Linked DNA regions of Oryctolagus cuniculus. The protein of the gene in region 1 interacts with the protein of each later gene in a pairwise test. Links are inferred from orthologs where the notes say so. Each region holds a gene or a part of one and is shown on either strand. Other genes may lie near its edges.

The links.
Region 2: the proteins of SRSF11 (region 1) and SRRM4 interact in binary tests that used the Homo sapiens proteins (3 or more experiments, as listed by UniProt). The link is inferred for Oryctolagus cuniculus from reciprocal best matches to the Homo sapiens genes SRSF11 and SRRM4.

What each region holds. Positions count from the first base shown.
Region 1 is NC_091438.1:102,137,971-102,145,416, forward strand, and holds part of SRSF11 (serine/arginine-rich splicing factor 11), read right to left. Parts: intron 4,584-7,446; coding exon 4,452-4,583; intron 513-4,451; coding exon 423-512; intron 1-422. UniProt on the Homo sapiens protein: May function in pre-mRNA splicing.
Region 2 is NC_091452.1:15,121,438-15,129,374, reverse strand, and holds the start of SRRM4 (serine/arginine repetitive matrix protein 4), read right to left. Parts: upstream 4,039-7,937; 5' UTR 2,910-4,038; coding exon 2,779-2,909; intron 1-2,778. UniProt on the Homo sapiens protein: Splicing factor specifically required for neural cell differentiation.

The sequences.
Region 1 (7,446 bases):
TATAATGGAATATAATTTAGCCATAAAAATAGTGAAATTGTGATTTTTTTGTAAGTAGATGGATGAACAGGAGGGCATCATGTGAGTAAAATTAGCCAGACATAAAAGACATACATATTCTCCCTTATACTTAAAAGTTAAAACTGAGTAACAAAAAACTCAATTCAACCTGAACAGAGAATGTTGGCTAGGAAGGTTAAGAAGGATAGATGCAGTTTAGATAAAAACAAAACAGGGGAAGCTGTATGTGTGGGCTCATTAATTATGACAAACATGCTAATATGGAAAGTAAATAATAAGGGAAGTTTGGTTAGGGATATTTCAGAACCATTTACATTATTACTTCACAATTTTTATAAATTTAAAATTATTCTGAAATAAAACATTTTTCAAAAAGTGAAGAATGCATAATTCTGTCTTACCTGCTTGCACTTCTAGAACGTCTGGCTGTACTGTAACTTTTTGGTGGTGTTTTGGAACGTTTTTTTTCTTTGTCTTCTTTCTTTTTGTCTCTAATAAATCAACAAGCACAATTCAAGAAGGCATTACAAAGTTCTGTTAACTGCAATTTAAATAGTGCTACAAATCAAAACAAAAGCAAAATTATGTCTAATAACACCTGTAAAAGCATGATTTACAATTCTGATAGAAAGTATTTTTAGAGATACTAGTTCATGTGGCAAAGGTGGGGTTCAAAAAGTTATGAAAAAATTGAATTAAAGTTTTAGTTATTTTGGTGTAAAACTGTGAATCCATGCAGACAGATCTTCTAAGAGTTCATGGAAAATGTGCATTATGAAACAACTATGGAATTCAGCTTTTTGTTTATTTTAGAGGCAGAGAGAGAGAGAGAGAGAGCGAGCGAGCTTTAATCTGCTGGCTCACTTAACAAATGCTTGCATGTATTCAGGGCTGGGCCTGGAGCCAGAAAGTGAATCCAGAGTTACCTGAGCCATCACAGCTACCTCCCAGGGTATGCATTATCAGGAAATTGTAATCAGGAATGGAGCCAGGATATAAATCCAAGCACTCCAACACAGGGTATGTTTATCACAAGAAATGTATTCACTGCTAGGGCATCCATCCTTTAATTTTTTGCACCAAACAATCCTGTATTTCCTTTTGGCACCGGTTCAACCCGGCTGCTTCGCTTCTGATCCAGCTCTCTGCTGTGGCCTGGGAAAGCAGTAGAAGATGACCCAAGTCCTTGGGCCCCTGCACACACGTGGGAGACATGGAGGAGGCTCCTGGCTCCATATCGACACAGCTCTGGCCACTGTGGCAAACTGAGGAGTGAACCAGTGAATGGAAGACCTCTCCCTCTCTTTGCCTCTCCTCTTTCTGTGTAACTCTTTCAAAGAAATAAATAAATATTTTTTTTTAATTGACAGGCAGGCAGAGTGGACAGTGAGAGAGAGAGACAGAGAGAAAGGTCTTCCTTTTTCTGTTGGTTCACCCCGCAATGGCCGCTGTGGCCGGTGCACCGCACTGATCTGAAGATAGGAGCCAGGTGCTTCTCCTGGTCTCCCATGTGGGTGCAGGGCCCAAGGACTTGGGCCATCCTCCACTGCACTCCCAGGCCACAGCAGAGAGCTGGCCTGGAAGAGGGGCAACCGGGACACAACCTGGCGCCCTGACCGGGACTAGAACCCGGTGTGCTGGTGCCACAGGTGGAGGATTAGCCTATTAAGTCGCAGTGCCTGCCTATAAATAAATCTTAAAAAAATAAAATAAATAAAATTCCGTTTTCCTGGTGTTTTACTCAAGACATCTTTCCAATGTACAAATATACTGTATGTCTTGAGAAAGAAACTAGGATTTTGCCTAATTTCTTTGTGTTTTGATGCTAAACATCAACAGTTTTAATAATTGTCTTGAGGCTCTTTAACAGTCTCTTATTTTCTCAGATGACTTTACCATTTTCTCTAACCACCTCCACTATCAGTCCAAAACCCATAATGTATTACCAAAATCACTCACATCATCAATATTCTTGTAAAACATACAGCCCAAGTTAACTTCTGTCACAGATGAAGCCATTCTATCTTTGTGTTAGTTTTTTAAAGATCAATTTATTGGGGGCTGGCGCTGTGGCACAGTGGGTTAACGCCCTCGCCTAAAGTGGCGGCATCCCTCATGGGTGCCAATTCGAGTCCTGACTGCTCCTCTTTTGATGCAGCTCTCTGCTGTGGCCTGGGATAGCAGCAGAAGATGGCCCAAGTCCTTGGGCCCCTGCACGCACGTGGGAGACCCGGAGGAAGTTCCTGGCTCCTGGCTTCAGATCGGCACAGCTCTGGTGGTTGCGCCCATCTGGGGAGTGAACCTGCGGATGGAAGACACCTCTCTGTTTCTACCTCTCTCTGTAACTGTCTTTCAAATAAATAAAAATAAATCTTAAAAAACAAAACAAAACAAAACAAAACAGACCCTTGGCCGCTGTCCTAGCCCAATAGGCTAATCCTCCGCCTGCGGCGCCGGCACGCCAGGTTATAGTCCCGGTGGGAGCGCCAGATTCTGTCCCAGTTGCCCCTCTTTCAGGCCAGCTCTCTGCTGTGGCCAGGGAGGGCAGTGGAGGATGGCCCAAGTCCTTGGGCCCTGCACCTGCATGGCAGACCAGGAGAAGCTCCTGGCTCCTGGCTTCGGAGCAGCGCGGTGCGCAGGCGGCTGCGCGCCGCTGGAGCGTCCACTGGGGGGTGACCCATTGGGAAAAAAAAAAAAAAAGAACTGCTCAAAAGAAATAAACAGGTATTTCATAAAACAAGAAACATAATCACCCCCCAAAAAAGATAAATTTATTTATTTGAAAGGCAAAATGAGAAAGAAAAATCTCTTCCATCATCTAGTTCACTCCCCAAATGCCTTCAACAGATAGGGCTGAAACAGGTTGAGGCCAGAGCTGGGAATTTCATACAGGTTTCCCACGTGGATCACAGGAACCCAAATACTTGGCCATAATCTGCTGCCTTCCCAGTGCACTGGCACGATGCTGGAGTGGAAGCAGAGTATCTGGGACTCAAATTGGCACATGATATTACAGGATGTGGGTATTAAAAGAGGTGGCTTAACCTGCTAAAGCACAATGCCTGCCCCACTTCCACCTTGTTTTGATGCTATATACTCTTGGACTATTCAGTGCTACTGTAATGAACTAGTATTAAAATTATCCTCAACTCAATTCTTTTTGGATTCCTTTACACTTGTTTTTATTGAAACAACATTTTTTCGCCCAAGGCCATGGGCCATCTTCCACCGCTATCCCAGGCCATAGCAGAGAGTTGGATCAGAAGAGCAGCAGCAGGAACTAGAACCGGCACCCATATGGGACGCCAGTGCTTCAGGCCAGGGCTTTAACCTGCTGTGCCATAGCGCCGGCTCCCTATTCCATAATTTTAGAGATCAAAGTATTCCTTCTGTTACTTCACGCCATTCTTCCCACCCTATGTTCTCTGTTTCATTGCTTCCTCTACTGGCCATCCTGTTCAATGATCATTTCTGTTTTTCCAAGTACTTATCGCCTAATTTCAAGATACTCTGTTTATTCCCATTCCAGTTTCCTCCAGGATCACGTGCAAACACAGTCTGAAAACAACCCTTTCTATGATCTGTCTCCTTACACTGAATTTATTTACTGGTTCTCCTATATAGAAATATTCACCATTTCAAAAACTCATGCTAACATTGCAAACACCATTCTCTACCTGAAACTATGCACCCCACAGAATCTTTTTAAATGGATGCAAACTGAATACTCAGGAGTCACTTCTCAATTAAGCCCCTTCCAACAACATTAGCCAAGTGGCAACCATCACCTAACAGTGGTTCCTTTTTAATTTTATCACACTCTCCAAATAAACAATAAACAGAATATTCTTAAGGGAAAGAATGTTGAATTCTTTTTTTATGATAATCATTTCTTTAAGCAACTTCGTTTTGATTAGCCTAATGAGATTGACTAATATACAACGAAAAGCCTATTATAGGCTGAACATTCAGTAGTCATACTAATTAAAAACAACTGACTTTGTATAAAAGACTGGTTACTGGAAGTATGTTTTAAGTAAAAATCAAACATTAATGTGGGGGACCTGCTTTAATGAATCCTCATTTTAACCTTCTACTGGTCCCAAATTATGGGATAAGAGATATTCTAGTATGGTTCAGTTTCTGGCAAACAAAGATACTTAATAAATGCTTTGAACTCATTGATTACTGGGATATACAAGGACAAATATATTACATATGGTCATATAGAGTTTTTCTTCTGAGTATAATACAAGAAATGCATGGCAGCAATAAATCCTTTGCAGTAGTTGAATGGAATGGAAGAAATTCTTGTCTAGTTTTAACTTCCCAAAATTCCTTGCCTCTTTTGTAATTTAAGTAGCACAGTATTTGGGTTCTTGGCAATTCTAAAAGTTCTCTTCTTATCCAATGTCAAGAGTCTGTTATACCTGGTTTTTGATGTGCTCCTTGACCTTCTACCTCTCTCTCTGGAATGAGATCTTCTCCGTCTTGGACTTTTGGATCGTCGTCTACTCCTTGACTTAGAATGTGATCGCCTCCTTGATCTGCTTCTTGATCGCCTAAATGTGTAAAAGGAAGCCAACAGATATATTAAGTTATAAACATTTCACTTAGTCCCAGACATATGAATTAACTGCCAATTAAGTGGGAATATTCCCTTCCATATAAAAAACATGTTGGTGCTGGCATCCTATATGAACACTGGTTCGTGACCTGTATACTCTGCTTCCAATCCAGCTCCCTGCTGATGGCCTGGGAGAGCAGTGGACAATGGCTCAAGTGCTTGGATCCCTGCATACACATGGGAGACGCAGAAGAACCTTCTGGCTCTGGACTGGTTCAGCTCCAGCTGTTGCAGCCATTTAGGGATAGAAGCAGATGGAAGACCTGTCTCTCCCTCTGTCTGTAAATCTGCTTCTCAAATAAATAAATCTTAAACAACAACAACAACAACAACAAAAAACCTTGCAATCTCAATACTTTTTTTTTTAGAGATTTATTTATTTCAAAGTCAGAGTTAGAAACAGAGAGAGATTTTCCATCTGATGGTTCACTCTCCAGATGGTTGCAACAGCCAGGGCTGCACCAGGCCAAAACCAGGAGCCTGACCTGCTTCTGGGTCTCCTACGTGGATGGCAGGGGCCCAAGTACTTGGGTCATCCTCTGCTGCTTTTCCATTATCAGGAAGCTGGATGAGAAGTGCAGCAGCCAGGACACGATGTCTATGTGGGATGCTGGACTAGAAGGTGGTGGCTTTACCTGCTACACCACAATGCTAGCAGCAACAATACCTTTAAATACTTAGAATTTCTCCTCTTTTTTACTGTATTGGTCAACTTGTCAGACCAGTCCTCTCATACCCAATGAACCAAGAACTCCAAAGTTAAAACTACTACTATATGACACACACACACACACACACAAAAGAAAGATATTGCACCATTTTCTATAACCGTACAATACTGAAAAACATCTTTTATTTATTATTACTGCAAGTTAAACCTTATTATTATTATTTTTTTTTGACAGGCAGAGTGGATAGTGAGAGATACAGAGAGAAAGGTCTTCCTTTGCCGTTGGTTCATCCTCCAATGGCCGCCGTGGCTGGCGCGCTGCAGCCGGCGCACCACGCTGATCCGAAGCTAGGAGCCAGGTGCTTCTCCTGGTCTCCCATGCGGGTGCAGGGCCCAAGCACTTGGGCCATCCTCCACTACCCTCCTGGGCCACAGCAGAGAGCTGGCCTGGAAGAGGGGCAACCGGGACAGATTCCGGTGCCCTGACCGGGACTAGAACCCGGTGTGCCGGCGCCGGCTCAAGTTAAACCTTATTTATCAAGTATCAAATGCTTACGCTTACTATGTGCTTGACAAATAGGCAATCATGAAGTCTAAAAAAAGTAAGTCCCATTATTATTCCTGTTTTATAGATGCAAACTACTTAGTATGTTATCATTTACTATTTCTAACTGTTGTTCTTTGAAATTCCACTTTTTATATCCATAGTCTAAAAAACTCTAATCATGTACAAATTGCCTCATTTACTCTCATTTTCTCATCAACATTACAGTCTCTATACCATCCTCTTTTCCATTACATCAAAGAAAGGAAATGTTTTTTTTAATCATCCTCATCCCCGGGGAACCATCCAATAAACACTTCTTGGTTTTCCAAGAACTTCAGTAGCACATTTAACCTATAGATGCTGTCACTGTTCTTCCCTACCCCCCACCTCCACCCCCTTTTAAAAGGTTTTATTTATTTGAAAGTCAAGAGTTACAGAGAGATTTTCCATCTACTGGTTCACTCCCCAAATGGCCTAAGAGCTGGGGCTGGGCAAGGCAAAAGTCACGAGCCAGAAACTTCTCTCTGGTCTCCTATGAAGGTACAGGGGCCAAAGCACTTGAAGGGAGCTAAATCAGAACTGGAGCAACTGAGATTCCAACCGGCACCCATATGTGGTGCCAGTGCCACAACACCGGCCCTCCTCCTTCAAGTCTTTGTTATTCTCAATCTTTTGCTTAGTCTTGATATCTTAATTTTTAGTGACCATTCAAGTCCTTTCTGTGGAATATTTCAAATATACCTAAACTTTCTACATGTTTTCATTTTCAGGGTACTAGAGTCGAGAAGTTCTAGAAATGGAATTGTGTTCAACTTTTATTTATAAACCAAGTTACTTGGAGTATTATCTAATCTCTCTGATCCTGTTACTTCATTTATCTCTATTACATAAAAATAGCACCTTTCACTTGTACAGAGTACAACTCAGTGCCTTCATGCAGAAATGTATGACATTCAACACTCTCTTCCTCTTACTAATGCAGTAAAAGGCTTCAATTGCTGTAACTCTCTAAAACAACTGGCTCAAAGCCCATTGTACTGAACTAAATAAACTTTTTTTATCATCTCTTATTTTAGGGTATATTTGGAACTACTTATGACAAATTGTTAAGAAGAACCAAGATAGTAAAAGAAGTTATGAGAAAGCAGACAACTGATAGAAATATGTTTCAGATGAGATCAGCTAGGAGATGAAGAATACCCAAAAAAAAAAAAAAAAAAAGTTTAAGAGTCAAATGGTGGGGGCTGCTGGCCTGCAGTGCCGGCATCCCTTCTGGGCGCTGGTTCGAGTCCCAACTACTCTCCTCTTCCAATCCAGCTCTCTGCTATGGCCTGGGAAAGCAGAAGATGGCCCAAGTCCTTGGGCCCCTGTACCCGTGTGGAAGACCCAGAAGAAGCTCCTGGATCCTGGCTTCAGATCAGCATAGCTCTGGCGTTGTGGCCATCTAGGGAGTGAATCAGCAGATGGAAGACCTCTCTCTCCTCCTCTCCCTCCATCCCTCTCCCTCTAATTCTGCCTTTCAAATAAATAAATCTTAAAAAGAAAAGTCAAATGGTGGAAATATGGAAAATGAATCTAAAA
Region 2 (7,937 bases), on another chromosome or scaffold:
TCATGCTCCAGTCTGATCTCCTAACCACCACAATATACTGTCTCCCACTCTGCTATACTACTCTGACAGCTGAGTCAGACCCGTGCTTGCCATCTTATAATCAAGCTACTGCCTTGTCAAGGAGGCATCATGGTGGGGTGAGGGAGAAGATGAGGGAGTGGGACTTCAGGGTGACAGATTTTGCTTGTAGTACAGTTGTATGATGTATACATACTGCTATGAAATCAACAAATTGAATGTAGGCTTCTATCCCGGTACTGAATTATCTTTAGAGGTAGACTTAAAATATCCTGAGGAAGTTCAGTACGGGGTTGGGGGGGATAGCTCTCACCTGCAAACAGATATTAAGTGTGTAACCAACAGAACTGGCTGGTGGACCGCCTCCCCTCCCCCATCTTCCTGCAGACAGCTCCTCGGGCTGGGCTTGACTCACTCAACAACATTTCAGAAGAGACCAGCTCCCCGGATTGCCTCTAGAGGAAGCCACGGGGGCTCTGCTGACGCTGTGTCAGTGCCTGTGTCCTTTATTCCTCCTAAGAACTCTGCTGTGGAAACACGGTGCTTTTCATCCCGAAATAAGTATAGAACATTGCAAAGGAAGTGGAAATTGGCCATCTCTGGATGTGGCTGACTGAGGCGACAATGGAGATGATTCAGGTTTCATAGCTAGTTTGTTAAAAGACAACTCAAACACAGTCTTCCCACCCACCCCCACTTTCTTTCTTTTGGAGGACCTGGATGAAAATGTTTCCTGTTCACTCTCTACTCCGAGGCAGGAGTAACAGCTATAAAACTGGAATGTGTTCTACAGAGAGGCCACGCCTGTTACAGAAGTGTCCAACAGCATCCTTCCAGCATGATATAAATTGGGGACTTACGGGCTCAGACTTTTATTTCAGGGATGGTTTCCAAGGGGATCTAGGACTTGAAAAGACACCAAGTGAAGATACCAGGGGAGGGGCAGAGGCAGGTGGCTATTGGAAAAGTCATAGACTCAATCAGAATTAGCACAAAGGACAAGGGCTGGGAGATCTTGTGGACAATACACAGGGTTGAGACTACCACCAAGGAAAGGGAATGACAGCAGTAGATGAACAAAGGGAGAGGGTGGACATGAGGCACGCTTCTCTGAATTCGCACACCACCGGGAGTCTGCTCGTCTCTCCCTGAACCTTGAAATAGATGGACGACTCTGAATCAAATGCCACGCTTCTAGTTTCCAATGAAATTTCCCCTAGTCCCTTCGCCAAGGGCATTTTCTTTGGCCATCGCAGCCCCTGATTTGCCAATAGTCGGTGCACTCCAAAGGTGGAACGGATGGCAGGAACCCAGGAGGAGAAAACCGCTGACGTCAAAACGCTCTACAGAGAACCTCCCTCCATGCAGAGAAGCATCCGCTTGCTTTTAATGGCATGTGGTGCTACTGCCCCCCCCCTCAAGCCTGTTTCAGTGGGGGCCCCCTTCCTCCCACCCATAAATACTGGCTGCTGCCTGCAGCCTGCCATACTCTGTGTTTCTTGCCCACCCCTTCCTGAAATGGGACACCCATTTTTCCCAAAGACCTCTGTGAGCATCCCCATTGCCCTGGGAAAAGTTCTCCAGTGTGGGTTTGATCCTTCAGACATAATTCCACATCAGTCTCCCAACCTACACCTACTAGAAAGTTCAGATTTAGTTGTGCCCAGAACAGGCATTCTGTCCAAAGCACTTCCCCAGACACGTGTGCAATATACTCCCCAGTGCAGCCTGCCAGGAATAATACATTTTCCAAGCAGCCCCCTCTCCCATCCTGGACTGCTTCTTTATCTTCCATTGAACTGCTTGTCCAACCAACACCAGCAAAAGACAAGTTCTCGTCCTGCCTTGATTTTTCCCTGACACAGGGCACAGCCTTCTTCCTTCCACCCCCAAACTCCTCTAAATTGAATGATGTAGGAAAAGCATTGAGTTTTTTTCTGGCTTGGAATGCCTCTGTCTCCCCCAAACTTCTCTCTCTTCTACTCTGCATCTCCTCCTCCCTTTCTGCCTTGCTTCCATTTCTGCCTGTTTCCCCCTCCATCACACCTTTTTTGCCACCACCCAAGGATTCGTTCTCACCCCTAAGCTCAGTGCAAATAGATTCTTTTTGAGAAACCAAATAAAACTCTCCCAGGATCATCTTCACGATCTTGGAAGGCTCCTCCTTGACTCTGGAGCTCAGAGTCCTGGTTTTGGAAGCTGGAGAGGAGAGAATTCAGCAGCAGCCAGAGAGGCGTGGAGGAGGGTGCTGTTTGGGGTGTATTTGAGGGAACAGCATATGGGCTTTTTGACGAAACATTCGGAGCTCGCTAGTTTCTGAGCTAAGGATGGAAATGTGCTGCTATGTCTGAACACTGCCTGAACGGATTCAGTCCTTGTTTTTCACATCTTTACAACACCCCACCACCACCTCAGGTCTGCCGCTCCTTTGCCCTGGGGTCCGCTGAGCTCGGTGATAGCAAGAAAAGTTTCTCAGTCAAGTCCTACCCCCACCTGCACTGCTCACGGTAAGACGCCAAACGCCTTGCATAGGGACTATGGGTCCACTGAGTGTTGCTCCCCTCAGAGACGCGCCAGCTTCCGTCTCACGCAAGCAATGAGTTCCCGTGTTCCAGCGGGGATACCCAATAGTGATGAAAAGACAGGCATCCTGGCCCAGCTGCCTGCCTCCACCCTCAGGGCCCCCAGGGCTCAGGCCAGAGACCAGAAAGAAAGGGGGACCTTCAGGGTCCCCCCCCATGTTAAGAAGGAGGTCATTACCTTGGCAGTGGCTTGCGGGCCGTGATACTGGCGACAATGATGCTCTCGGGACGCGGGGTGGCCACCGCTTTGAAGGTTCCTCGCCAGAACTTCTCAAAAAGCTGCTTTTCGCCTTGCTGAACGCTCGCCATAACCAACCCCAAGCAGGCCGGGGCACCCAGGCGCTGTCCGAAGTGCTGAAACGTGGATTCCCCACGCGGGCACGCCCGGCTCCCGGCTTGGTGTGCTCCTGAAACCCAGAGTGGTGGGGTGGGAGAGCTGGGAGTTCAGGGCGGGGGATGGGACGCCCAGCCTGGGCAGGCGGTGGGGAAGAAAGGTTCGTCTGCCGGCTTTTCTCGCCCTCCGCCTTGGCGCCGGGCTGCTGCTCCGGGCTGGCGAGCCTCCGCGCGCCCCAGGAAGGGACGGGAAGCCTGGCTCTCTAGGCAGCACCGGGAGAGCAGAGGCGGCCGGGTCGACTGTGTGTGCGTGCGCGTGTGAGCTCCGGCGCGCCCGGGTTTTGTCTCTCGCACAATGTGACGTTGGACCAGGAGGCTGGTCGCGCGAGCTGCACTTTCCTCCCCCCTCTCCTCCTCTCCGCCAACCCCCTCCTCTTCTGGCTCAGCCTCCTGCCGCCATCTGCATAACAAAAGCCCGTAGGTCTTGGGAGGAGAAAGGGCGGGGCGTGCGCCTGTCACCAGGGCCCCGCGGCCACAGAGTTGCAGCGCTGACCCCACGGAGCAGCAATCCCGGCACAGCGACCCGAACCAGGCAGCAGGTTTCGCTTCTCAGCCCTCCCTCCTCCTCCATCACCGCGGGCCTCCTCCTCTAACCCCCATCCTGGCGTGCGCTCGGCGCCAGCCACCTCCCTTCCCAGCCCCTCCCCAAGTCCTGGAGCGGATCCTCCACCCAAGAAGGGGAAAGTAAAAAAACTTAAACCTACCCGCTCCTGCCGGCCCAACCCCACCCCACGCTTCTAGGAGGCACCGCCCAGGCCAGCAAAGGGGGAGGGAGAGCCCTGTGCTCTCTGCGCCTGGGCCGCGAGGTCCCCGCCACCCAGAAAGTGCCATTTGATGGACAATCCCTCGGCGACTCGGCTCCTCGCCATCTGCCGAGTGGGGACCCCGCCCGCAGAGGGGCGCGGCGCTACATCTGTGCCTGCGGCGCGGTCAAGGCTGTCTCTTTTGTGCCTCGCAGTGAGCCTGTCCAGAGTCCCTGCTGACAACTCCCTCCAAAGGGGACGGTGCCCCTCCCACCCTCGGGGGAGGGGGCGCTCCTGGGGAATTCGGCGGCTGCTACTTTCTTAAGCATGGTTGGGGGGCGGGGGTGGGTCTGGCGAAAGAAGCACGTTATGGAAAAGAAAGCGTTTAGGGGAAGCCTTGGCAATGGTGGGGAGACAGTTACTTTCCCGTCGTTCCTCCCCATCTTCCACCCGCTCCTGGCTGGAACCTGGGCCCAGCGAGCGGAGATCTAGGATCTGGATAAGCCCCAGCCACAGAGGATCGGCGCAGAATTTTTTCTTCGTTTTCCTTAGGGGTCTCCTGAAGACAAGGAGATCTTTCCAGGACCCCCTCAGCTCATCTTTCCCTTGAGCCTTTGGATCTCAGCCGAGTTGTTCCTTCCTCCCACCCGCCAGGCTGTAAACTCTGGGAAGGAGGTCTCGCTGAGTCTCAGAGGCGCCCAAGCCCCTGGAACCTGGTTCTAGCCACAGCAGTGAATAAAACCCATGCTTCCTGCCGGGGCACCAGTGGTAACTTTTGCAATCCTTTGGAAGAGAAGAGGAAAATAGATGCCAAGTAAGAGCAAGAGCAAGAGGCGGGGGGGGGGGGGGGGGCGAGGAGGAAGATGAAGAAACCTGGCGATTCTTAGCGCTGGTCTGGAAGAGCATGCGTGCGTTTGGGTTCCTCTGTGTTCAGGGTTTGTGGAGTCCCTGAGCGCGCCGCTCTGCACTGACCCCTTCTGGCCAACAACTAGAGATGCATTTGTTGGCTTCTCTGTTGGAGAGGTAGGGTCAGTCAGGGCTGGGATTCTTGGAGGCATCTAGGCGCGCCATAACCGTCCCTTCTTCCCCACCTCCCTCAACCCGGAGCCCTTGCTAAATAAATAAATAAATTCCCTCACTCAGGACCTGTTTCCCACTCTGAAGCTGATATCGCTTAAATGCAGTTGAGACCTGGGATATTTTAAACTATCCTTAGTTATTACCTGATGTTTAGGGTATGTACTGAGTCACTTGCAGTAGGTGGGATCTTGCCTGACAAGATCAATCAGCATCTCCAAGCCTAATTGCAAGAATCTTGACAAAGTTTCCATTTGCACAATTCTCCTTTTGAATCCCACAGCAGCCAAGTAAGCTGCTTCTTTTAAAAAGAGCAAGTCGGGCCAGCACTGTGGCACAGCAGGTTTTAGCTGCCCACCGCTGACATCCCATGGAAGTTCAGGTTTGAGTCCCAGAGTGCTCCACTTCTGGTCCAGCCCCCTGCTACTGTGCCCAGGAAAGTAGTAGAAGATGGTTCAGGTACTTGGACCCCTGCCAGGCACGTGGGGGATTTGGATTATAATTTGGACTACATTCCAAACTCTTGGCTTCTGGCTGCTGTGTCCATTTGGGGAGTGAACCAGTGGGTGGAAAATGGCTTTGTCTCTCCCTCCCGTTCTGTCTCTCTATGTCACTCTGCCTTTCAAATAAATAAAATAAATCTTTTTTAAAAAAATGGATGAGGAAGTTGAAGGGACTTGTCTAAGGTGATTCTGCAGGGAACAAAGGAAGTTTGTGAAAAAGTAGTTTCTGTTTTTGCTCGGGAGTGGGAATCTTTGGGACATTAGGCTTATCCCAGGGTGAGGCTGTGTGAAAACTCTCAGATGCCAATGAGCACACACTTAGAAGCACACAATGTTGGGACTTCTCAGTGGGGAGTCTCCAGGATTAAGCTCAGGGCTGGAAGTCAGGCTTCTTGGTTCAGATTCCAGCTCTGCCATTTCCTAGCTGTGTGATTCCAGAGGAGAGACTCGTCTATGCCTCAGTCTCTTTATCAGCAACGTGAAGCTGCTATAAAAAATAATACCCTGTGTTTAAATGGACTAGCTGCGAGGGTGGAAGGAGTGAGGCTGTAGAACACAGTTTACTAAGGAATACCTATCATCAGTTGAGTTAAGAGCGTGGCCCCTGGAGTCAGACACAATTCGGGTAGGATGCTCAGCCCTTGTTAGCTGGGTGATCTTGGCCTGGTAACTAACCCCTGCCTCAGTTTTCCCATCTGAAAAATGGAGACATGAGTACACATTTCCTGCGGCTTCTGTGATGATTAAATGCAACATTACTGGTAATACTCTGTACTGTTTCTGGTTCATACCAAGCACCCACTCAACGGCAGCTGTGACGGCTGCTGCTGTTGGAATCATCACCTGCTAGAATTCAGTTCAGTAATCATTCCCAGATGTCCAGGATCTTGGTCAGTCTCAGAGCTAGAGACAGAGTCCAGAGGTAAACGGACAGGGCTCCCTCCCAAAGGAGCTCAAGTCTGACTCATTTTCTGGTCTTTCATCTTTACCTTTTGTCCCCTTTCTACCTTATCAGTGACTTCAATTTTAGGTCTGGCTTCTCCAATGCAGCTTCAACTTCCATCTCCTCTATTTCTTGATGAAAATATAACCATCTCGTGTCTCACTCATTCAGGATAATTCTCTCATTTTATCAGGTGCAAGCCGGCCCACTGCATAACCTGAGACCTATCAACATGCCGGCTGGTGACTATACACACATGGCACAAATGCTGCTTTCCTCTGTACTCGGCCAGTGGAAGACATCACTAATCCATCACAGAACTCTTTAGGACCTAGCCTCAGAATCCTTCTCAAGAGACCCATGACTGATGGGTGGGAACTGGCCTCCCAGATGAAGTCATTTTGCCAACCACACTCAGAGGGAACTTCCTCACCAGGTTGGTATCCTTCTCTCATTTAAAAAGCAGGAGTCTAGGAGAAGCGATTCCAAGATTTGCAAATCGAAACACTCCAAAGCAGGAACTAATGGGATTCCTAGGCATTCTTCCCCCCGATCAGAAAAATAGCTGCTCCTCCTCCTGGGGCAGTTCAAATCTCACCTCACTAACAGCACTGGGTCACTTTGGGTAAATCCCTTCATCTGTCCGTGTCTAGGACATCTCTGAGTGCAATGGGGATAATCATTATCCACCAGCATCAGGGGACACCAGGAAACTTGGCAGTCTGCACCCATTTCTAAACGTCCAGTGAATTGTGAAAGATTCAAGTAATTATGGAGACAATGGAAAATATGATAATGAGACCAACAACAGGATCATGCTAACCCAATTCAAATCATAAGATTCTGTATCTCCTCATATAAATACTTAGGGAGGAAAAAAATGACTGCACTACTCAGGACTTACCAGTCGTCACTCTTTGAAAGTTCTACCTCGCATCTAATTTGAACCCCACACCGCTCTTTATTGTTTGTTCTTCTTCTGGAACACAGACATGCATTTCTGCGAATGTCCCTAGAATACCAGGGGTGAGCCAGGGATCCTCCTGCCCTGGTTGCCTAGTTCCAGAGATTCTACAAGACAAATATGTTCATTGCTGTCTGGTGTAATAACACTAGGTTCTCATCAAATATATGTTACTATATTCTATGTTCTAGGCACCATGTGTGCCAAACCCTTGATAGATATAATCCCAGTTCATCGGAGAAACAAACTTAGGAGAAAGGAAGAATTGTTGCCAATTTTTGCAGAGCTGGAAACTGAGTCTCAGAGTGGTTGAATGATTTGCCCAGAGTTACATAGCTAGCAAACAGTAGAGTCCAGTCCTAAACCCAGACTTGTCTCGTCCTACAGCCCAGGCTCTTCTGACTTCCAGCAGCAGGATGAGGACTGTAACATTAGCTGAGTGCACACTTGTGATCGCCCCATCTACAGGTTGTGTGCACACCCACAGTTGCCTGTTATTCTACACATCTATTTATGGCACAACAGATGCTTCTTTCGGAGCCTCCATCCTCTCCACCCTGCTCTTGGAGGAGTAGCAAAAGCAACTTGGCTGGTTCTTCCTAGAGAGGAGAGCACTCTGGTATTTCATAGGTAGTTGGCAGGACGGGCTAGGACTCGCCACGGCTACCATACTGATACGTGTTGAAGGTAACCGAGCTGCCAAATTTCAGCTGG